3 linked regions of the Stegostoma tigrinum genome follow. The protein of the gene in region 2 binds, or shares a complex with, the protein of the main gene of each other region. Links are inferred from orthologs where the notes say so. Each region holds a gene or a part of one and is shown on either strand. Other genes may lie near its edges.

Region 1 (8,037 bases), on a different chromosome or scaffold from region 2:
AAGATATGGTGATATAGTTCCACACCTGGATGGTGTATGATTTAGGGGGACACTTGTAAATTATGATGTAGCCAATTATCTGCTGCCCTCATCATTTGACTTTGTAGAGTGTATGGGTTTGGAGGAATCCTGTGTGAGGAGTTTCAATTTATTCTGTAGATGTCGGTGGTGAAGGGCACAAGTTTTGAGATTCCAATCAAACAGACTGCTGTTTTCTGGATGGCAATGAGCTTTTTGAGTGTTGTTGGAATTACACTTAGCCAGGTAAGTGGGGAGTATTCCATCACATTCCTGATTTTTCCTTATAAATCATAGACAAGCAAGCCAGAATCAGGAGGTGAGTTATTTCCTGCTCCCAACATGCCATTTTCGCAACAGCAAATACATGACTGGTCCAATTCAGTTCATGGCCAATGGGGTAACCTTCTAGATGTTGGCAATGGGTGATCTAACAATGGTAGTGCCAGTGAATATCAAGGTGTGATTGTTAGATTTTCTCTGGCATTTGTTTGGCATAATTGTTACTAGTCATTTAATGGGGTATTGCCCAGGTCTTGCTGCATACAAACACAACCTGCTTGAGTGTTTGAAGAGATATGAATGGTGCTGAACATTGTGCCATCATCAGCAAACATCCCTACTTCTGACTTAATGATGGTGTGATCGTCATTGCTGAAGCTGCTGAAGCTAGTTAGGCCAAGCATACCATCCTGAGAACTCCTATGGCAATAGTTCACAGTTAAGATGATTGACATTCAATAGCCATAACAGTCTTCCTTTCAACTAAGCTAGGTTGCAAACAATAGAACAATTCCCCTCATACCCACTGATTCCAATTTTGCTCAGGGTACCTGATGCCGCAAATGTTCACATGATATTTTGATGTCAGGGACATTCACTCTCACTTGGCCCTTATGTTCTGTGATAATGGGAACTGCAGATGCTGGAGAATCCAAGATAACAAAGTGTGGAGCTGGATGAACACAGCAGGCCAAGCAGCATCTCAGGAGCACAAAAACTTATGTTTCGGGCCTAGACCCTTCATCAGCGAGCTCTGATGAAGGGTCTAGGCCCGGAACGTCAGCTTTTGTGCTCCTGAGATGCTGCTTGGCCTGCTGTGTTCACCCAGCTCCACACTTTGTTATCTTGGCCCTAATGTTCTGCTCTTTTATCCCTGACTGTAATGAAGTCAGGGGCTTAGTAGCCCTAGCAGAACTTAAACTGAACGTGAGTAAGCAGCTTCTAACTGAGCAAGTGCTGCCTGACAGTACTGTTGACAATATCTCTCACCACTTGGCTGAAGAATAAGTGTCAACTGATGGGGCATTTGTTGGTCATATTGGATTTATTCCATGTTTTTATGGATAAGATGTGTCATGTGTAATTTTTCACCTTATCAGATAGATGTCAGCATTGTAGCTATACTGGAACAGCTTAGCTGCAGGTGGCTTCAAGCTGAGTGCATTGTAGCTCAATTATATAATAGCTCCAAGAAGAAGCTGAGATAACAAGATAGGCCCAAAACGTCGGCTTTCCTGCTCCTCTGATGCTGCTTAGCCTGTTGTGTTCATCCAGCTCTATACCTTGTTATCTCAGATTCTCCAGCATCTGCAGTTCCTACTATCCGAGAAGAAACTATCTGATGTTCCAGTCTGTATGTTGAAGAACATGCATCTTAGATATCTAGGTGTAGGATATGCTTTGTGAGTATTGTAAAAGTAGTGTTTTAGGTGCCGTATCAGAGGTGTGTTTTGGGGTACCATATAAAAAACTGTTTTGTTTTGTTTTTCCTTTTCAATTTATGATGAAGTGTTTTGGGATTAAAAGGAATACACTTTTACTGTGTGTTTAAAACTCAGTGTTATAAGTAGGGGTTTGGTTTATTCTATTAGGTCTCAATTTCCTTTGTTGATAAACTTTTGGTTTATTGTTAAATCTGCAGCATTGTGTGAAGTGCTTTAGTGAGAGATTACTTCATTCAAACCCAAAACAAATCCAAATATGATCTGTCAATCCAACTTTCTTTCAGAGACCTGACTTATTCAGGAATAATATCAACTGGGATCATAACACTTTTTATATCAGTTGCTAGTTTATCCTCAAAGTTTATTTTCACACTTCTTTTAACATTTTTTTGGTCATAGAACTCTTCCTCCACTCTGAGATTTATCTTCGCTGCAAGTCATGAATTATTTTCTTAAGCATCTGCTATTGTTCATTAACTGTTTCTTTCTGCTGATCTCCCACAGTCTACTCCAACTGACTGTCCCCTCATTCCTTTGTACCCACCTTTCATACGATCATAGATTCATATTGTAGAGACAGTCCTTCAGCCCATTGAGTCTTATCACCAAAAACTATGATAAATTTAACAGTTATTTCTGACCCAGGTTTCCCACTCTCAAGCTGAATGTTAAACTCAGGTTGTTATGGTCATTGTTTCCTAAGACATCTTTTAGCCTGACACCACTTATTAAACTTACCTTGTCACACATTATCAGATTCAAAATAGCCAGATTTGATTAGCTTAATAATATATTGTTCTAGGAAGCTGCCCAAGTAACCTCAATGAATTCCTGCTAATGGCTATTTCTACCCATTTGATGCAATAAAGATTAAAGTCATCCATTATCTATATCTTTACTCTAATTCTTTTCTGTAGCCTCAATCTGACATTTTTTTGACAGGTTTGGTGATCTTCATAGCTCTATCTTCTTGTGCTTTCCTCCAGATGCACAGTAATATTCTCATAATTTCCACCATGTATTTATTTGCAGACACTGTTGCACCATGCCTCACCTGCTCAGTTAGAATATCCATGATGGTGAGGAAGAGGAAGTGTTTCAGCACTGGTCCTTGAGACAATTCAAGTTTGACCTGAAGTGCTCGTTCTCCCCCTCAATGCTTCTTACTTTTGCCCGGCACTCAACTATTCATGCGGGGAAACCATTACATGTTGCTGTTGATCCCAAGTTTGGATTTATGTGGAGGCTCAGTGACAGAAAGCACATCACCGTTTAACCCTGTGGCACAATCAAATGATAATTGAACTGAACGTGGAACATTAGAAATGAATCTAAAAGTGCAGAAAGATTGACTCCAGTTGTATCTTTCACCAGCTGGCTTTCTAGAATGGATCACTGATTAAATGATTTTGATTCCCTCTGTTTTGAACAAATAAAACTGAACCAGAGTCAAAATTACGGACAGAGAGTCTGGGGTAGGAAAATTGAACTGAGTCCAGGATTCAAAGAAACTGATGGAATGGACATACACCTTGCTAAAAGGTTTGTGGATGGATATTCCCTCGGAAGCTGCCATTATTTTGAAAAACAGTGGAACACTTTTTGTACAATTTTCTGTTCAGTGTTCAAAAGGTCAAGGAGCAGAAAATTTCTGCAGTATGCTTCCATATGCATCATTATCCCTTTAGTATCCCATGCAGTTGACTATTTTTATGTTTTAAAGTACCATGACTATTTCTGTTGAGTCATTGCAGCTACAGTGAATACTGTCCTTGCCAAACAATGAAACCTATTGGGGTTTGGAGTTTAGACTCTGGAATGCCCCAGGTTCCCTACCCCAAGTGTTCAAAATTGAAGAGCACTGAGCTCAATTATAATCATCTGAACTTCTGAGACTGGCTTGCATTAATTAGAAATAAACATAGGATTGTTAAAGTATTTGAATGTATTTCCTTGCAGGGCTGAGAAAGCTGGAACGCATTTGTCATTGTTTATGTGCTTCTGTCACAGTTTCTTGATTTTAAGAATTGATTCAGATAGAACAAGATGCTGGTATTTATGAAGCAGCCCATCTCATTTGATCAACTGATTTTCTTCATTGCCTCAGACTTCATTGAGGTCAGGGGTAAGATTTTGACACGCCGTCCATGTTCAACATAAAGTTGAAGTTAGGTCACAAATCAGCCTTGATTTAATTGAATGGTGAAACAGACTGGAGGAGCTAAAGAACTTACTCCCATTCCGATTTTTCCTGACAGTGGGTGATACAAACTACAAAGAGCAAAATGCAAATCTATCACTTCATTTAATTAAATCCATTTTTTTTTCTATAAATACGTTTCTTTCATTTTCTGTGGTCTTCTTCAGGTTACTTTTCTTTTGGCTAAATCTTTGGCTTTTGATCTTGAATCCTGGTTAAAGCTGCTATGTAGAACAAAGAGCAACACAAACAGCAAACTTACCATAGGTTGGACTAACTATGTAACAAAGTCAAGCAGACCTATGCTGTTTGATGAGCGCTATTCAATTCACTATTTCTTTTCAGAGGTTGATTTTGTGCCTATTTGTCACAAATGTTCAACATTACTGTTGGATGATTAAATCCTTGTGTATGCTTTAACAATGACCTTGCACACTTCTCATGTAAGCAATGGATTCATGTTTTAAATGTAGTTCCTCGTGAATGTTCAAAATTTCCCACACCAATAACAAACCATGAAGGGGAAATGGTAAGTTCATGACAGAAATGAAATGTTGGCTGTGTCCATTGTTATTTTAAAAGAGCATTACCATTAAGATGGAATTGTAGATGGTGCTTTTATTCAAAGGCATTTTACCAGGTTGACAAAGTGGAAATTTCTCAGAGCTTGGCTGAGGACGGGAAGGGTATGATGTGGGGAGAGACTGACGGAATAATAGAAAGTGAGGATAAAAAAGGGAGAGAGACAGAGAGAAAAAGAGAATAATAAACAAAAAACGATAAATGCAAAATTGGAGAGACAGAATGGGAAAAGACAAGAGGGATAAAAACAGAAAGTGAAAACTGCGAAGGTGGAGAGACAGAATGGGAAAAGACAAGAGGGATAAAAACAGAAAGTGAAAACTGCGAAGGTGGAGGGACAGAATGGGAAAATAAAAGAGGAACATTATTGGCTGCTGGTCCCCCCCCCCAACCCCGGCGCCGGCTCTGATCAGGCTGGAATCGAGTGACAGTGCGCGTTCACTCGCTCTGCCGCTGGGCGACGGACACGCGCCTGACTACTGTCGGGGGCGCGCACGCTCGGTTGACGTAGTTTTATTTTGCGCAGTCGGTGAGCGGGGCCGCTGTCGGTGGATCTGTTGCTGGGTTTTTGTCTGTGTCCGGCGCCGGAACGGGTGAGGATATGGGGACAAACAGGGGGGTAGGGGATATGGGTAGGGGATAGGCGGTAGGCGGTATGCGGTATGGAGACAAACAGAGGTAGGAGGTAGGGGGTAGGGGGTAGGGGGTAGGGGGTAGGGGGTAAGAGACAAGGGACAAGGGACGAACAGTTGGGGAGGGGTTAGGGGACAAAAACTGGGGTAGGGTCAAACAGTGGGGTGGGGGGTAAGGGGCAGACAGTGGGGGAGGGGATATGGGGAAAACACTGGGGTAGGGGACAAACAGTGGAGGGGGGTTTGGGGAGGAGGACAAGCACTGGGGGAGGGTTTTGGGTCAATCACTGGGATTGGGGGTAGGGAACAGGGGGACAAACAGTGGGGTATGGGGACAGGTGTAGGGAACAGGGGGACAAACAGTGGGGTATGGGGACAGGTGTAGGGAACAGGGGGACAAACAGTGGGGTATGGGGACAGGTGTAGGGAACAGGGGGACAAACAGTGGGGTATGGGGACAGGTGTAGGGAACAGGGGGACAAACAGTGGGGTATGGGGACAGGTGTAGGGAACAGGGGGACAAACAGTGGGGTATGGGGACAGGTGTAGGGAACAGGGGGACAAACAGTGGGGTATGGGGACAGGTGTAGGGAACAGGGGGACAAACAGTGGGGTATGGGGACAGGTGTAGGGAACAGGGGGACAAACAGTGGGGTATGGGGACAGGTGTAGGGAACAGGGGGACAAACAGTGGGGTATGGGGACAGGTGTAGGGAACAGGGGGACAAACAGTGGGGTATGGGGACAGGTGTAGGGAACAGGGGGACAAACAGTGGGGTATGGGGACGGGGGACAAACAGTGGGGTATGGGGACGGGGGACAAACAGTGGGGTATGGGGACGGGGGACAAACACTGGGGTATGGGGACAGGTGTAGGGGACGGGGGACAAACACTGGGGTATGGGGAGGTTTTGAGGTCGCAACGGTGAGATGGAAGGGTTTAACGGTTAGAGGAGGTGAGGGACAGAAGGAGAGCGAAGCAGAGGTAGTTGGTGGGGCACAAGGTCTGGTGGTGAAAGACTGAGGGAGGTTGTGGGCAGCAAGGGGGGGGACTCTGTTTTACAGCTACAATTCGACGGCACCCTTGGTGGCGGGGGGGGGTGGTGTTGTGTGTTTTAAATACCCCCTTCCCTGGGCCTTGTGATTGTATGTTTAAACGCCCTGTCCTTGAGGCAGTGTAACTCCTTCCCCCACACAGCAGCTTATCTCCTGCTGCTTTGTCAGAAGTCTCCTATCCGGGTCTGCCAGGAGAGACACTGTCGATATTTCCCACTTAACATGCTGAGGGAGATGTAATGACACCTCTGGAGCAGGTGGGTTTTGAAAGGTAGGGACTTGGATGAAACCCATGTTTTAAGTCTGTCTCTACAGCTGGTTTATCCTGGAACAGGGCTCTGGCCTCTTCCCAGTGGGCTGTGGGCTCCACTCTGCAGTCAGTCTAACTAGGTGACTCCCAGCTTGACATTCCCCAAACCCTTTTTTCCCTGTTGATAGAATTCACAGTTTGATGTTTTGACCACATAAGCTGTCAAGTGGTACTCGATTTGGATCTTTTGACTCAGAGTCGAAGGGGTTCTCTGCCCAACACAACACTCTCCCTTAACCCTGTCCCACAGCGGTCATCTTTTTCTGTCTTGCTTAGCCCCTACTCTCCCCATATATTTCCTGTCACGTCTCTTCTTTCTCCCCCCCCCATGTGTCTCTGGTTTTGTCTTGTGTAAATACCACAGACATCCTCCCGCCACCAGCTGGGACTCCCCCCCCGGGACCTCCTGCACGTCCAGAGGACTCATTTAGTTTTGTCTGCTGGATCCCATCCCTCTGTGTTGGTTGCACCGTATATTTTACTCTGTGGACCGACTGTGAGAACTACCCTCAGTCCAACCAGCTTTCTACCTCAGGGCCAACAAGAGGCTCTTCAGGCACTCTCCAAGGACAAGAGCGGGAGTGATCATCCCCTTTTCATACAAATTGTGCGTAATTTTGTTTTTGCTTTTATTTCAATCCTGCTCCTACATGTGCAGGCCATTGCGAAATCCCGGATTTAATCAGTTGACTTGCAGTTTGGTGTTTGTTTGGGAGTTCTGTGCCTTTCTGTCTGTATTCTGACAGACTTTTCTCTGGTAATTGTGCCTCGCTGTATCTGCGGCGCTGGCTCTATCGGTTTGAGATTCTTTTGTTTGCTATGAAATACCCCATCACTTGCGATCTGAAGGGGAGGTGGGGAGATCGACACCCTCTTCGATTCAAACATGTTTTAGAAGTTTATTTCGGTGCCCAGGTAATTGTCATTCTCCGGTGTCGACCCAGTCTTCGGGAAATGTGGTATTGTAAACGCTTTGGAACTAGGGTCTGGCTGTATCCATAATTGCAGAGAAAATCGCCGGCGTTCTATTTATAGCATGCACTTATGTTCTTTAACACTTGGCGGATTTTATTTCAAATCCTTTCTTGGTCGACATGCAGATGCAAATTGTGTTATTGATAAAGGCTGACCTGCAAAATACACTTTAAATATCAGCGTAAAACACGTTTGAATGATCGTATTTGAGCCACGCGAGCCCCTCATTTCTCTTCACCCCCCCCCCCATCTCCTCCCCATTCCTTTGTTTGCGGGATTCAGTGTTTCACGCAATCACTAATACAAGAGACTTGCATCCTTGTTCAGGTTGTGTTGTTGGAGAAATGGTGAAAAGGTCGTGTTTTTCAGGGAGCTGAGCTTTCAGCTGCTGGTTCCTACGTTGAAAGGTTCTGTCTTTTAATTGAATTGCAATTCTTTACCGTTTTTGACTTTCTGAAATTGCAGTCAAATTTGGGATAATGCTGTCTTCTCTAGTTTAATGGTATTTTTCTTAAGATAAGTACAATTGAACTCAAC
Region 2 (7,976 bases):
ACAGTATATTTTAGACATATTATTAAACTGAAAAGGAACAATACAAATATAAGTTGACGTTTACCGAACTTTTACAAAACTGCAGGCTGGTAGTGAAGCGATCACCCGCCAATTGCTTGAGAAGGTGCAAGACCTTTGTCACAAGGGGCATGCTCAGCTGCTTCTGACAGCAGGGAAGATCCAACCATAAGTTTGGGGCTGGAGTCTCCAGGCCATACCAGGCAAGGTATCAGAGTTTCTCCCCTATTGAAAAGACGGAAGGCTTGCCATTTGTACCTCGTCTTACAGTAGTCCCACAAACAGATGATTCTTATCCCTTTAAATAAAAGCTCTTATAGTTGTTGGTGATACCGGTTTAAAAAAATTAAAAATAATATAGATGGAAATCACAATAACATTCCCCAAACACCACCAGAAATCCCTTCTCAGGAGCTTTATCAGTTAAAATTTGACCATACTGTTGGACGAGACAGGTCAAGTAAGCAAAAGATTTAAAGGAGGTGGTATTAAACGTGTCTCAAAAGGAGGCAACAGATGCAGAGAGGTTTAAAGAGAGAATTTCAAAGCTTATGAAGACAGCATTGGTGAGTCAATTAAAAACAGAATGTTTAAGAGGCCAGAAGTGAAGGAGCACTGAGCTCTGACTTTGTTTTTAGGGCTGGAGGGGGAAATCCTACAATTGATGCAATTTTAAATGGAATTTACAGCCAAGAAACTGGCCATGTATCTCTTTGGTGCCAGGCTGTTATTCGTGTGTCACATCAATTCCCTCCAACTCTAGACAGAAAGAACTGCAGATGCTGTTTTCAGAGTCAATGCATCGTGGAGCTGGAGGTCAGGCAGCAGAGGAACAGGAGTGCCGATGTTTCAGGTCAGGTCCCTTCATCAGGGTGATCCAAAATATGAACTCTTCTGCTCCCCTAATGCTGCCTGACCTGCTGTGTTCATCCAGCTCCCACACTATATTGACACAACTTAATCTTGTTCCATTGTATAACTTTCTTTTCTTTCCTCTCCCTGTATTTCTCCACTTTCTTCTTAAAAGCATTTACACTCTTCACTAAAACCACTCCATGCAGTAGCAGTGCCACAATCTCAGTGCGAAGAAATTTCCCCTGGAATTCTTATCTGGAACTGTCAGCGATTATCTCACATTCACGGAACCTCCGAGTGGCAGCATTTTCTTTATGCCTGTCAAAGGTCACAACCAGGTCATCCCTCAGTTTTCTAAATTTCATAGAAAATACCTTATACCAGTGAGTAATGGTCCCAGTTGCCAGTAAACATAATAGAAACCACGATACCGTCTCAATCACTGAAATATTCTGGGGAAATTCTATAGAATAAAGGAATATTTATGCCTCCAGGAACAATAGAAAATCAATCATGGAGGGTCAAAACAGCAGGAAGTAATTTCACCAGAACAAAAACACTGGAAAGATGATGTGAGAAAATCCCACATATTAAAAGAGCAAAACGTGGGTCATTGTACAACATCTGATTTAATAATGATAGGCTTTCATTTACATAGTGCCTTTCCTGGTCCTCAGCCATCACTAATCACTTGACAGCCAATTAGAAGCTTATGGGGCAGGTTGAGTGTGTATAATAACACTTCCAGATTTTAAGAGAAAATAAAACTAAATGCTAGAGGATTCTTGTGGCGTACTGTCGTGTGCACCAGAAGGCCTGGTTCAAGTCCCACCTGATTCAGAGGTGGAATTAATCAGAAGCTACCATGAAATGCTTACGAAGGGTAGTCACTGTTGCAATCTCAGGAATATGGCAGCCTACAAAGCTGATTCACACAAACTACAACAGAAGATCAGGTTTTAAGTGTTTAAAGTGTGTATCTCATTTGGGCCCTAAATAAACAGTAGCGAAAAAGGAAGAGTCCCCAGTATTTTTCACCACCCCGCGAATAGAAGCATTCACATTATGGTCACACAGAACGTTGAAGTAACGCTTCATCCCAAGGGCGCACCTCAACCAAAATGTTGCGCCCAAGTTTCTGAACGGGATTTCAATCCACAATCTTTCCAGACCAGAGAAGCAGACAGCCTAATTACCATTTCAGAGCTGAAATTCAAATACCACGCAATTTGATAGTTTGTTTCAGGCGAGCTGTCCTTTCCCGAGTTAAACACTGCACTTCCCAACATCTACATCATGTTTACATTACAAATAGACTCACAAATGCATGAGGTTGACTCATCAACCCACGAAATAACCTGGCCGTCCCGAATCCAGTTTAACAAACGTGAGATAAACAGCTTTTTTAAAAAATAAGGAAGATGATCCAAACGTTATTTTGGATTGTAATCTCCGCGGGGAAAACACACTTCCGAAGATGTTTCTTAAAGAAAAAGATCTCACATTTAAAATAAAACCTTCCCCAGCGTTGCTTCCCGGTCCATTCTAACCGGGAGCTGTCCACGCCCTGAAACACAATCTGCCACTTCCAGCCACCATCAGAAACGCGCATACCCAAACAATCTGCAATTAAATCAAAATTAAACCCAATTCTCAGTGTTACTCACGATTCAGTGGGGGGGGGGGGGGGTTTGGAGAAGAGCTCCCGGTGTCTGCTCTCGCAGACCTAGCTGTTTCTGTATCTCTTTTCCCACCCCCTTTAAATGCTCAAAAGATGTCCCTTCCTCCTCCTCCTCCTCCTCCTCCTTCCTTGGCTCATCAGCTATTGCATTTCAGATCAAACATTGCCAGACAGCACAAAAGCCACGACTCGAAATCGGCGCTGGTGGTGCCTCTGCTTTACCTGAAATTGGGAGGCGAGCTGATGTGGAGTCCCGGAAAGGGAGAGGCAGCCGGCGAGTTCATGGACTCTGCATCCGCCATTCTCCATACAGAGCCCCCGAAAGGCGCTTTCACTACGTCAGACCGGGGCAGCCTTCAATGCAAAGCGAGCAGCTTTAACCCGCTTTGCACACCGGCATCTGTCACCGCGACAAGGTGCACACACTCCATAGGCCTCCCTCCAAAGAGACACTTCCGCCCCTTGTTGAAGCTGCAGGCACGGGGTGTCTGCTGATGTGCTACACCGTGATACGACGTGATGCGGGGGGTTGACACCAGAATTGGAACAGCTCCACCCCAACCAACCCATGCTTCCAGCTGGCGGAGAATTCATTGAAAACCAGTCACTAGGGATGGTGATCCACCCCCCCCCCCGTCTCCGAATGTCTACATTCTCCAGGAAGTTGCAGATGCATCTTCCAAGACAATTACAGGAGAGGAGGGATCCAACAAAGACATTTCCTGGAATATTTCCATTGTATTAATTAGGGAATTATTGAAGGTGAGAAAGGGAACAGACAGCAAAAATTGACCCGAGTGGGGCCAGTTGTAGCGTGTCAATATTTAACAGTATTATTCACTCTGAAGATGTGCACATTACTGGCAATGACAATGGTTCTTGCCCGTCCTTACACATTGCACTTCAAACAGTAATGGTACATGGCCCAGGAGAGGACTGGGGCTCTTCTCATGCAGCGGTAATGCCTATACCTGTGGGTCAGGAGGCCCAATTCCAAATCCCACCTGCTCCAGAGGTGTGTCAACATCTGTGGTCAGGCTGTAGAAAATATCTGGCCCAGGAGAGGAGGGCACCTTTAAGCTCCAATAACTGGACTCAGGGCTCTAGTTGGAGCAACAGCATCAGGGCTTGTGATTTCTATCCTTACTCCTGAGTGGTGAATCACCTCCTTGAATTGTTGGAGATTATCTGTGTTGGTGCTCCACAGGGCTGTTGTGATAGGAGTTCCAGAATCTCTGACCCAATGGTATTGAAGCAATTGTGCTATAGTTCCACGTCAATTTGGTGTGTAGTATAATGCATGCTGAGGTGGTGCCACTGAAGGGAAGCTTGGCAGGATCTTCTGTGTCTTTTCACTGCAGCCACAGCACTAAAAATCTGCTTCCCGTTTTCCAGAACAACCTCGGAGATCAGACGCAATGACGACGTCCTTGTTCCTGTTAAAAGAAGGATCTGCAGTTAAATGGGACTCCAGTGTACTCAGTGTGGCTGATTTCTACATTGCGGTTAACGGGAGACTCCGGAAACCAAATCTGAATATTGCACTGCATTTGGATTCTTCCCCAAAGTACTGACTCCTGCACGTGGGGAAAAAGAGGACTTAGCACGTAACAATGGAAGTGATCAAGGAAGCGAGGAATGTGGTTCCTCAATCCTGGAGACTATGCAGTAACAGATTCAATAATTTCATAAGGGCAGGAAAGGAAAATATCATCCATTTTGAAGTATCAAGCTCCACTTTCCTCACTTCCCCAGCATTCTCCTCATGGGATCCTCAGAACAACACACCTTCCAATTCTGCCCATTCCTCTGACAATGTATCTTTTCACATCCCAATCAAAACAGCTAAGACTCCCGCTCACTCTCAGTTTATTGCTGTCATGCTCCATGCCTCACAATCCCAGTCCACCATTGTTGTTATTCCATCCTCTCCTTTCAATCCATTTCTAGTAAACATTGCTCTTTTCTGTCCTTGAATGCGAAGCAAATACAAAACATCAGGGGGATGTCAAGATGAGGCTAGCCCTTCAGTGAAGAATGCCTTGATGGCCATCGGCAATGTATGCCTACTGGATCCATTGCACAGGATGTGTCATCATGACCATATGTGAAAACCTGAGCTTTCTGAGGCACTGGTGTTCTGCAAAATCTGATTCTGTATTGAGGGTCTTACCTTCTTCCAGATGTGGAAATTCTCTCTGTCCTGAGGAACATATGGCTGAGGAGAAAACGGCTGTTTCTGCTCTTTTGCTTCATCTTAGAGCAAGATCCAAACTAGTGCTACATATGGTGTAGTGATGGTTGATGCTGAGCAAGTTGAGTGGAATCCAAGAGAAGTAAACTGACTTCCAAAAACCTTGAAGCAAAAGGAAGCCAGTCTATCTGAACAAGAACTGTGAGGTCTGGCTTTTCCAGTACACTGGGCAGCAGCAGTTGGCTTCACCTCTATTTAAAGGGTTTCCAACATGTCAGTTTCACTGATTACTGATTCCTTCCTATTCTCTCGCATTACTGACTTTAATGAGTTCCTCATAGTTTGTCAAATTTGTGTACTGTCTGTAAATTTAACCCACAATTTTTGCCTTAAACAATCAGGCCCCTTTCTAAATATTGAAATTGCTGACTTGGCAGCTCTTCAAGGATATCCTATTCACCTCCAAACACAGCCCAGAAATAGAGAGGAATCTGTTGACTTCTGAAGCCAGAGGCAACAAAACTTGTAAGTGTGGTACAACACACACAGAGGCATTCCAACCATTGTGCCTCTCTGACTATCTGTAAGAACTATCCAATTGATCCTACTCACTCCTCTTCTCAAGGGCTTCATTATTTTCCATTTTAAGAATTGAAAGTTAACATTCAATCTTTTTTCACCACTATTTCAGGCAGTGTATTCCAGATGTTAAAAACTGGTCTTTTATGTTCTGTTCTGGGCACCTCAATTAAGGAAAGATGTGAAGGTCTAAGACAGAATGAAAAGGACACTTATCCCTGGAAACATCCTTATGAAGAATTCAGTTAATTGTACATATTGGATAGGCTAAGGTTGTTCTCCCTGGGTTGAAGGTTGAAAAGAGATTTGACAGAATTATTCAAAATCATGAAGGGTCAGGTTGGAATAGACAAGAGGAAACTGTTCCCATTGTTGTTATAGATTAGTTGTATCCAATTGTATGCAGATAGTAGGCATTAACTGGAATACTTTGTAGTATTGGCTTGGAAAGTACAAGTTTGAAATGTTTATCTCTGTAAATAAATGCTGATAAGTGGAGCAGCATGGCGGCTCAGTGGTTAGCATCTGGGTTGGATTCCACCCTCAGGCAACCGCCTGTGTAGGGTTTGCACATTCTCCCCGTGTCTGCGTGGATTTCCTCCAGGTGCTCCCATTTCCTCCCACAGTTCAAAGATGTGCAGGCTGGAAATACATTTTCCAGTTTATTTATATTTTCCTGAAGTGTCATACTACCCTTCTGATTGTTCGTTGTGTTTCTAAATTTTGAACTCACTGCAAACTGCCTCCTGTACCCAAATTTAGATAATGAATGTATGTTAAAAGGAGCAATAGAATTTAACCCTGTTAAATGTGAGGTCATGCATTTTGGAAGAAGTAACAAGACAAGGGATTACTCAATGAATGGTAGGACACTAGGAATTTCAGAGGAACAAAGGAATCTGGGGTGCTTGCCCACAAATTGCTGAAGGTGGCAAGACAGGTTAATTAGGGTAGTTAAAAAGCTCAGGCACTTGCCTTTATCAGTCATGGCATAGATTATAAGAGTGGGAAGGTTGTGTAGGATGAGGTTGTTACCTTGCTCACCAAGCTGGCTGGTTATAGTTCAAATGTTTTGTCACCATGCTAGGAAACATCATCAGTGCGGCCTCCAATGAAGCGATGTCGTTCTAGTCCAGTTAGTATTTAAATGATCCAGCCTGTTGAGGTGTTTTTGTGTCATTTCCAGGTTTTTTTTTGCAAGGGTTTGTGGGACAGGTCCCACCTCCTTGACCTGTCCGTCTTCCCTGGACTGACCTATCCCCTCCCTACCTCCCCACCTATACTCTCCTCTCCACCTATCTTCTTTTCTCTCCATCTTCGGTCCGCCTCCCCCTCTCTCCCTATTTATTCCAGAACCCTCACCCCATCCCCCTCTCTGATGAAGGGTCTAGGCCCGAAACGTCAGCTTTTGTGCTCCTGAGATGCTGCTGGGCCTGCTGTGTTCATCCAGCCTCACATTTTATTATCTATTACTCTGAGAATGTTGTCCTTGTTGATGGAGCTGTCATTCAGCATTTCTGTTTCCTCCTACGAACATGGCCAGTGTATGGAATAGCGCAGTAAATTCAAAGGATACCATAATCTCATCATCAATTTTGATTTTCTTGCCCTTTTTAAGGAATTCCTGGGTTGAGTAGGTGGAGTTGGGGGATCTATCAGCCAGATGTTTCAGTCTTTGTTGTAGGTCCTTGGAGAACCTATTTGTAGGTGTGGCCAGTAGGAGACAATGGGTCAGAGGGGGATATCTGGTTTGTGTAGTTTAAGGAGTCAATATAAGCCGGGGGCGTGTTTGAGCCTTCTGGTTTCACTTTTATGTCATCTTTCTTGGTTATTTTTCCTGCATTCATTGGTCTCAACAGTGTTTGGGTGATCCTATTTCTGAGCTGCAGTGTTGGGTCTCTCTCCACCTGTTGGTAAGTGTTCAACCAGAACTCCATCAACAAACACATTGACTTGGAGCCAATCTACCATCCTCTGAGAAAAAGAACAGAAAATGACATCACCAATGCAGGAAATGACATCACCAACCTGAGGAAACCTAAACAGATAAATAGAAAGCGGGACATAACACCAGCGCTTCGTCAGAGGCTCATTGATGATGTTACCTAGAATGGTGACGAAATGTCTGAAAACTAACCTTCCAGCTCAGCGAGCAAACTCACATCCAGAACCTCAACCTGAGCTATAAATCTTCTCAAAACTCGCTAAGTGTCTGTATCTGCAAGCAGTGCCTGTGCTTTTTCAATGTCGCCTGGTTCGTTCATAATGGCAGTCATATGCCCTTTGTCCACGGGTAGGATTAAGATGTTCCTGTCATTCTTGAGTTCTTTGAGTGATTTTCTCTCTGATGTGTTTAGGGTGTCCCAATTATTCCTCCAGTTCAATGCCGGGATTATAGTTCGTCAGATGGTCTGTTGAATTTTGTCCGTGATTCCATTGTTTTTTAGTATGGCTTCCAGTGTGGCCATGAACTTTGTTCTGTTCGCATGCCAGTGGTTATAGTTTAGTCCAATATTAGAACAGCTTTCTCAGTTTTTGTAAGTCATCTGTTGGATAGGTTTCTTACCCATGAGGCCGGTTTGTGGTTGTCCTTGTCTTTGGGGAAGACCAATTAGGTCACCTTTTCCTAAGCTTTGCCTGTCTTCTTAG
Region 3 (7,232 bases), on a different chromosome or scaffold from region 2:
TTCTCACACAGAGCGGGTGCATGTATGAAATGAACTGCCAGAGGAAGTGATAGATGCAAGTACAGTTAGTACATTTAAAAGACATTTGGACAGGTACATAAATAGGAAAAGTTTAGAGCGATGAGGCCCAAAGGCAGTCTTGAGACTAGTTTGGGAAACTTGATCGGCATGGACAAGTTGGACTAAAGGGTCTTTCTCTGTGCTGTATGACTCTATGACTCGAGGTAGACAAAATGGAGGATTGAGAGCAATCATCTGATGTTGAGAATGAAGACATTTGCCCGGAGGGTCATCTAAGAGACCAAGATGGAGCTATGCACCATAGTGTGTTAAAAGCCTGACAGAATCCCTTTCAAACCTACTTTCAGGTGGGATGTGCTAGGATTTCACTTCCTCCCATTCCTTCTCTTGTGTTACTTACTGTTGGTTCAATGGAAATTCCCTGTGGAGCTGACTATTTCCACATTCCTGGAGCTTTTCATTTGATGCACACATATTTTGTTATCCATATGACTGTATACATGGTATCTTTAGCTGTTCCCATTTTAAAGAGTTCTCCCTGCTGTTTGGGAGACAGCAGTGGTCAGTGAGACAGGGCAGTACTGGTACTGAGGTTAGGGGGGCATGAAGGCTTTAACCATGATGTGGAATTTGAATGTTGTGCATTCTGGGCCATCTTGATAAGCACCAGGTTGGGGACAATCATGAGGCACCTCTCTTGCACTATTTTATCCCTGGTTAACCTTCAATGGTACAAAGTGTAGACAGACACTGCAGTGTAGTGCTTGAGCAGCCTTTAAGACTGTGTTTAACTTGAGAGGAACAATGTTTTGTACAGCTCTTTTCAACAGGCCATTGACCTATGAGAGTGAGTGGAGTACATGGAATGGGTGTCTTATAAGGAAAGGGTGGACAGGCTAGGCTTCTATTTACTACAGCCTAGAAGGGTAAAAGGCCACTTGATTAAAACACGCAAGATCCTTGGAGGTTCGTGACAGGCTTGATGTGGGAAGGACGTTTCCTCCTGTGGGAGAATCTAGAGCTAGGGGCCATATCTTAAAAAGAAAGGGTTGTCCATTTAAGTTAGAGATAAAGTAGAACCTTTTCTCCTCAAATGATTACAAGTCTTTGGAATTCTCTTCCTCAAAAAGATGGTAGGAGCACAGTTTGTGAATATTTTTAAGTCAGAGGTAGACATGTTTGTGGTAAGCAAGGTAGTGGAATGTTATTGAACGTAGGCAAGAATGTTGTGTTGAAGTTATAATTTGATCAATCATGATCATACTGAATGACAGAACATACCTGGGGGGCTAAGAGCTACTCAGCCATTACTTGATATCATGTGGAATAAATCATTTGGGCTGAATGCTGGAAACTGTGATGCTGGGGATCTTCGGAAGATGTTGAGATGAATGTAACACTCAGCACTTTTGCAGCTGTACAAAACTCTGGTGCGGCCACACTTGAAGTATTGCGTACAGTTTTGGTCGCCGCATTATAGGAAGGATGTGGAAGCATTGGAAAGGGTGCAGAGGAGATTTACCAGGATGTTGCCTGGTATGGAGGGAAGATCTTATGAGGAAAGGCTGAGGGACTTGAGGCTGTTTTCGTTAGAGAGAAGGTGGTTAAGAGGTGACCTAATAGAGACATACAAGATGATCAGAGGATTAGATAGGGTGGAGAGTGAGAGCTTTTTTTCTCAGATGGAGACAGCTCGCACGAGGGGACGTAGCTTTAAATTGAGGGGCGATAGATATAGGACAGAAGTCAGAGATAGGTTCTTTACTCAGAGAGTAGTAAGGGCATGGAATGCCCTGCCTGCAGCAGTAGTAGACTCGCCAAGTTTAAGGGCATTTAAATGATCATTGGATAAACATATGGGTAATAATGGAATAGTGTAAGTTAGATGGGCTTCAGTTTGGTTTCACAGGTCGGCACAACATTGAGGGCTGAAGAACCTGTACTGCACTGTAGTGTTCTATGTTCTATGAAGATACTTCAGACTTGTTGTTTGCACAGATATGCTGGGCTCCTCCATCATTGAGGATTGGGATGTTTATAGAGCCTATTCCTTCTCATGTTCATTGTTTAATTTTCTATCCCTACTCATGACTGGATGTAGTGAGACTTCAGAGCTTAGATCTGATGCACCGGTTGTGGGATTTCTTTAGCTCTTTCTATTGCGTGTTGCTTCTTTGGTGGCAAGCAAATTGTCTGAAGTAGCTTCACTATATTGGTGCCTGATGCTGTTCCTGGCATAACCCACTGCACTCTTCAATGAACTAAGGTTGATCTCCCTGCTTAATGGTAATGGTAGAGTGGAATATATGCTGGGCCATGAGGTTATCGATTGTGATTGAATAAAATTTTGTTGCTGCTAGTCAAAGCACCTCTTGATACCAAGTTTTGTGTTGCTAGATCTATTTAAAATCTATTACTTGCTTTAGCACAGTGGTAGTGCCTCACAATACAATGGTGAATAGCCTCAATATGAAGATCTCTACAAGGACTGTATGATTGTGACTCAAATACAAACTCTATCATGATTGGATGCATCTATAACAGATAATTTGTGAGATGATGCCAAGTAAATTTTTCTCTCATTGGTTCTTCAATCACTTGCATCAGAACCAGTTTAGCAATTAGGTCCTTTACGGTTCAACTAGCTATGGCACAGGAACCACTAACATCCACTCAGTAGCAGGTATGCGTACTACTGGACAATGATGGACCATTTTGTGCCTTTACCACCCTCAGCGCATCTTCAAATTAATTCTCAACAAGGAGGAGTACTGATTTATCAGCTAAAGTAGAACAACATGTGACAATCAGTAGGATATTTCCTTCCCCATGTTTGATCTAAGATTATAGCACCATAACAAATAGGAACAGGAGTAGGCTGTTCAGGGGTTCGAGCCTGAATCACTATTCAATGGCATCATGGCTGATGTGACACACCTTGGGTCCATTCTCCTGCCTTTTTCCCAAACGTCTTGATTCCCCTCCTGATCAAAAATCTATCTCAGCCCTAAATATACCCAAAGAATCTGATGCCATGAGATTTCCAGGGATCTGAAATCAATGTTGATGGCACCGGGACAACTCCATATCAAAGACAGTGCCTCCACTTTGAAGCCCTTCCCTTCCATTCCAGCTTTCAAGCTATAATGGACTAGATCTCAACTGGATGGCTCAGCCTCACTCATAAATAAATGTGATTTTCCCTCTCAGGTAGCGGCTGATACCCATCCAGCTTACAAGCAACATTCTCAACATGCTTCTGGAACTTTGGAGACTCACAGTATTTCTACTTTTAGCACACAGCTTGCTGCCATTGCTTCCAAACTATATTCACCTGCACCTTGTTCCCAGTAAAATAAACTGTTTCTTTTAATCTTTAACAGTCAAACCACGTGCCAGGCTTGCTGTCAGGCACATTTTGGAACAGGTCACATGATCCCATTCATTTTTGCCTTAAAGGCACTGTCTCACGATATAATAATCTTATAAACTTCAGAGTGGTAACTATATACTAATCTGATTGGGTAACGAATATTCCAGTGATCCGTAAAATAATGAATTTTAATTTGGTAGAAACTAACAGCAACAATAATTGAATCGGCTGGTGTTCTCAAGGTAAACACAATACTAATGCAGTTATAAGACAGCGGGAGAATCCTCAAATAGTTAAAGTTGGTTGTGTGAGAATGAGAAAAATGTTTGTGGATGTGTATGTGCGTGTACAGGTAGGGAGAAGCCTCTTCCTCCTTGTTGTACAAGAATATTGTATAACGATTATGTTGAATTACACAAAATAATAACATTTTATTTTAATATATTAAAATTTTTGTACTGGTAATTGTACCTTTGTGCACTGTATGAATATTTATTGTGAACGAAAGTATTCTCCAACTGTACTTTGGTAACAAAATTATTATTCTGCGCATTTTCAAAACTAGTACAGTAGGCAACATTTGGCTGGAGATGCCTCAGTGCACTCTCTGTATTAATTGCTTGCTACGGCTATATAATTCGTGTGTTAAGTGCAGGTCTATGGGATAAACTGTTTTGTACTGGGTTCTAAATAAGTCATTACGGAAGCATATGGAGATACTGTCAGATTTAAAAGTCTCTCCCCCTACCCCAGACCTTCTGCGAGCTTTGACGTCATGTGTGCTCCTTTCAGTTGCCATAGAAACTTATTCCCCAGGCTCTCTGTCTGTCTCATCTGGTAGGTTCCACACTGGTACAGGCAGCATTGACTGCACAATGGTTTAACACGGGTGATGGCGGTGATTCAGCAATCTCTCCCTCCTCTCCAGCAGCTCTCTTCTCTCTCTCCTCCTCCTCCTTTCCAGGCATCCTCTCCGATCCATTGTGCATCTTTTGTGTTTCATTCTTCTTTTGCGAAAAGCAAAATGGTTTGAATCCGGATTGCAGTGGGGGGGACTGTTACCATACCAGGATTCTCTTCAGTTGGCACGGCATGGTAGGTGGTTGATACTGATGCAGTGTGCTAACCTGTTAAGGGTGGGGTGATGAATATTGATTTCAGCAAAGGTTAATGAAGTAGACCGCTAGAATTGCATGAGGAAAGCATCCCAGCAAGTGGCAGCTGGATGTAGCCTTTTTCCTCGTATTGATATGCATCCATCCGGTAACTTACTGTCATTAGAGAATGCAAAGTACATGAGTAAAATAATGCTTAAGGCTTGATGTAGTGCATGTAAATTACTGTTTAGTTAATGTTTGAAAGAGAAAACTTGAGGAATTTGATAAAAGTGAAATGAATATTTTGCAAATAGTCGGCAAGAAACATTTTACACCTTTCTAGCCTTATAGCTTGTCATATACATATACATGTAAACAACGAATTGTTTTAAAATGAATTTAGTGATGAATTAGCAAGTTTTGATATCAGTGAATCGGTTTCGGATCATTGGGGTTAATTGATTGTCTTTCAGCCTGTTCGAAGTGATAGAAATCTGGGGTCATGATTTCTGCTTTGATTCACGCATCTAATTAATCTTGTGAAGAGATTCAGCATCGGCTGAAAGAAGGATTGGAAGTGTTTTGTTCTGGCCATTCATCAGTATTGTCTGCTTGATAACATTACAAGGATCTGTAAAGGGTCACTGAACATTTATTTTTCTGACTCCGTTTGACAAAATGAGTATTCTGATCATTTTCTTGATCACATTATTTCACAATACTGTGTTACTTGCCAATTTCGCTTTAAAATTGTCTGTAAGGATAGAACGATAGAGAGGCACAAACTACCTGGGGTGCATTCTTGATTATTGCCGAGGAAGGCGTTTTATACAGTGAGGGTGTTGGTGACTTCTCTGTGTGAGAATCTCTGGAGAGAAAGGTATATGCAAATATTGCAAATGATTATGACCAAATATGGATATACACCTAGCTTGTTTAGCAAATGTGATGGCGTCTTTTTGCACAGATACAACATAAGTCTTTGTGCTCAGTTTTAAAATATAAGCTATGCAGTTCTTGCACATTTGATATTCAGAGCTGGAAATCTATTTCTCCTCTTTTCTTTAAATGAAATAATTGTGGTTAATTAGAGGAGTGGTCATGTCCTGGTATATACAAATGACGTAGAAAATACATTGAATGCCTCTGCTGTAACCTAAAGTTAAGAACACTGAGCCATTTTAGACGGCTTCGATATGATTTAATTTCTGCATATACATGGAAAGCATAGATTTTCATATTTACTTACAGGAGAACATTGTTGGTCTTCAGAAAAAAACAGTGCATGAGAATCAGAAAACAAAAACTTTAAAAATGTAAATCAGAAACATATTTGTTTATTTTAAGTGGATCTTGAATATTTTTCTGTCTTATTTTATGTAACAAATAATTAGATGCTATAGAGTTAATGGTGTAATTTGATGTAAGCATACTACTGCAGTGTATTTACCTTTAAATACTGCAGTCAAATTCAGAATCCTTGTCTTATAGCAATATTAAACAGTTCCTTAAACTTATTTTCATATTCATCCTATGGAGAATAGTGTGAATTTGGGGAAACAACTCAGTCACTGATTAATAGACCATAGCTTATGGCATTTTATTGACATTTTATGTCAATACTTTTTTCATACTAGCTGGCTGAATGATTTTCTAGGCTCCCAACTGATACAATGAGTTAAAGATAGGAAAGGGGGTGGATGACCATCTGACTTCATTATTTAAAATTGCCCCCTTGCATACGATTGGACTTGGAGCTTTGGTTTCAGCTCTATTGAATGGCCTGGAGTGGGCTTTTCATGGAATACCACCATTTAGACAAAGTTATATTTGGACAAGATTAATAAATAATATAGAAATTAAAAATTGCCAAAGAAAAATCAGTTTCACATGATCAATTTCTACAATCACATTGTCAGAGTATGATATCATTCTTAAAGAGAACTGTGACTGTAACGATTGTGATTTTGCCTGTTTCAGTTGTGCTGGAACAGATGTCACCTACTCTTCATTGTCATTACTGTATTTTAATAAAAGGTGACATTAATTTTTTTAACAATCTGTTCTGGCAGAAAAACAGCTTTCAAGAAATTTAGGTGCATTGCCTTTTTGAACATCTTCACATGTTTGAATAGATAGATGTTGAAACAAATATGAAGTTAGGAATCAGAAACGTTAATTATAAAGACCACAGTTTAGTTTTCTGCAAGAGGCACATTTTTGCCAATAGCTGAAGATGCCAGTGACAAGTTCTGTCAATTAATCAGAAATCAAGTCATGTAGCACCATATTTGGTACTAAATGCGCCTCCTTGCTACACACATTTCCAGATATGGGCAGATGGTAGGATGCCTACTCAGATAACTGGTTGGAAGGATAACATTCAACAGCCTGGAAACTGTAGAGGTACTGACAGTAGTTGAGAATGCTTTAACTATAGAATAATGTATGTAAGCTTGGGCCTTGCACTGCTTGTTGGATCAAATTCTGATTCATAATGTCCCCTGCACACAGCTTGCAATTTGCTGAACTAGTGCAACATTATGTGGTGCTACTTTGACGCCTATATTTACCTGAATGTGGAGATGAGGTGACCAACCCTGTTTGGATTAATTTCTCAATTAGCCTTGTTCCCACTTCCTCACCATTGATCATCTGCCATATCCGTCACACAGGAAATCTGCTTGACATCAAGATTACATTTGATTGAGTGTGCCATCAAAGAGCCTTAGCAATACTCG

The links. Proteins that work in one complex are often made in the same cells at the same time.
Region 1: the proteins of mapk8ip1b (region 2) and mapk8a are in contact, whole or in part, in a crystal structure (PDB 3VUM), measured with the Homo sapiens proteins. The link is inferred for Stegostoma tigrinum from reciprocal best matches to the Homo sapiens genes MAPK8IP1 and MAPK8. Residues at the interface, in NP_005447.1 of Homo sapiens: Arg157, Pro158, Lys159, Arg160, Pro161, Thr162, Thr163, Leu164, Asn165, Leu166; in NP_001310257.1 of Homo sapiens: Lys83, Asp112, Ala113, Gln117, Val118, Met121, Leu123, Glu126, Arg127, Tyr130, Tyr133, Val159, Lys160, Ser161, Asp162, His286, Val323, Trp324, Asp326, Glu329.
Region 3: the proteins of mapk8ip1b (region 2) and mapk10 are in contact, whole or in part, in a crystal structure (PDB 3PTG), measured with the Homo sapiens proteins. The link is inferred for Stegostoma tigrinum from reciprocal best matches to the Homo sapiens genes MAPK8IP1 and MAPK10. Residues at the interface, in NP_005447.1 of Homo sapiens: Pro158, Lys159, Arg160, Pro161, Thr162, Thr163, Leu164, Asn165, Leu166; in NP_620448.1 of Homo sapiens: Asp150, Ala151, Gln155, Val156, Met159, Leu161, Glu164, Arg165, Tyr168, Leu169, Tyr171, Val197, Lys198, Ser199, Asp200, Cys201, Trp362, Asp364, Glu367.

What each region holds. Positions count from the first base shown.
Region 1 is NC_081390.1:9,551,342-9,559,378, forward strand, and holds the start of mapk8a (mitogen-activated protein kinase 8), read left to right. Parts: upstream 1-5,007; 5' UTR 5,008-5,120; intron 5,121-6,399; exon of another isoform or gene 6,400-6,472; intron 6,473-6,980; exon of another isoform or gene 6,981-7,132; intron 7,133-7,271; exon of another isoform or gene 7,272-7,440; intron 7,441-8,037. UniProt on the Homo sapiens protein: Serine/threonine-protein kinase involved in various processes such as cell proliferation, differentiation, migration, transformation and programmed cell death.
Region 2 is NC_081370.1:40,883,089-40,891,064, reverse strand, and holds the start of mapk8ip1b (C-Jun-amino-terminal kinase-interacting protein 1), read right to left. Parts: upstream 3,066-7,976; 5' UTR 2,857-3,065; coding exon 2,777-2,856; intron 2,487-2,776; exon of another isoform or gene 2,379-2,486; coding exon of another isoform or gene 2,377-2,378; intron 2,297-2,376; exon of another isoform or gene 2,203-2,296; coding exon of another isoform or gene 2,195-2,202; intron 1-2,194. UniProt on the Homo sapiens protein: The JNK-interacting protein (JIP) group of scaffold proteins selectively mediates JNK signaling by aggregating specific components of the MAPK cascade to form a functional JNK signaling module. Required for JNK activation in response to excitotoxic stress.
Region 3 is NC_081354.1:75,132,226-75,139,457, reverse strand, and holds the start of mapk10 (mitogen-activated protein kinase 10), read left to right. Parts: upstream 1-4,202; 5' UTR 4,203-4,486; coding exon 4,487-4,489; intron 4,490-4,636; exon of another isoform or gene 4,637-4,657; intron 4,658-7,232. UniProt on the Homo sapiens protein: Serine/threonine-protein kinase involved in various processes such as neuronal proliferation, differentiation, migration and programmed cell death.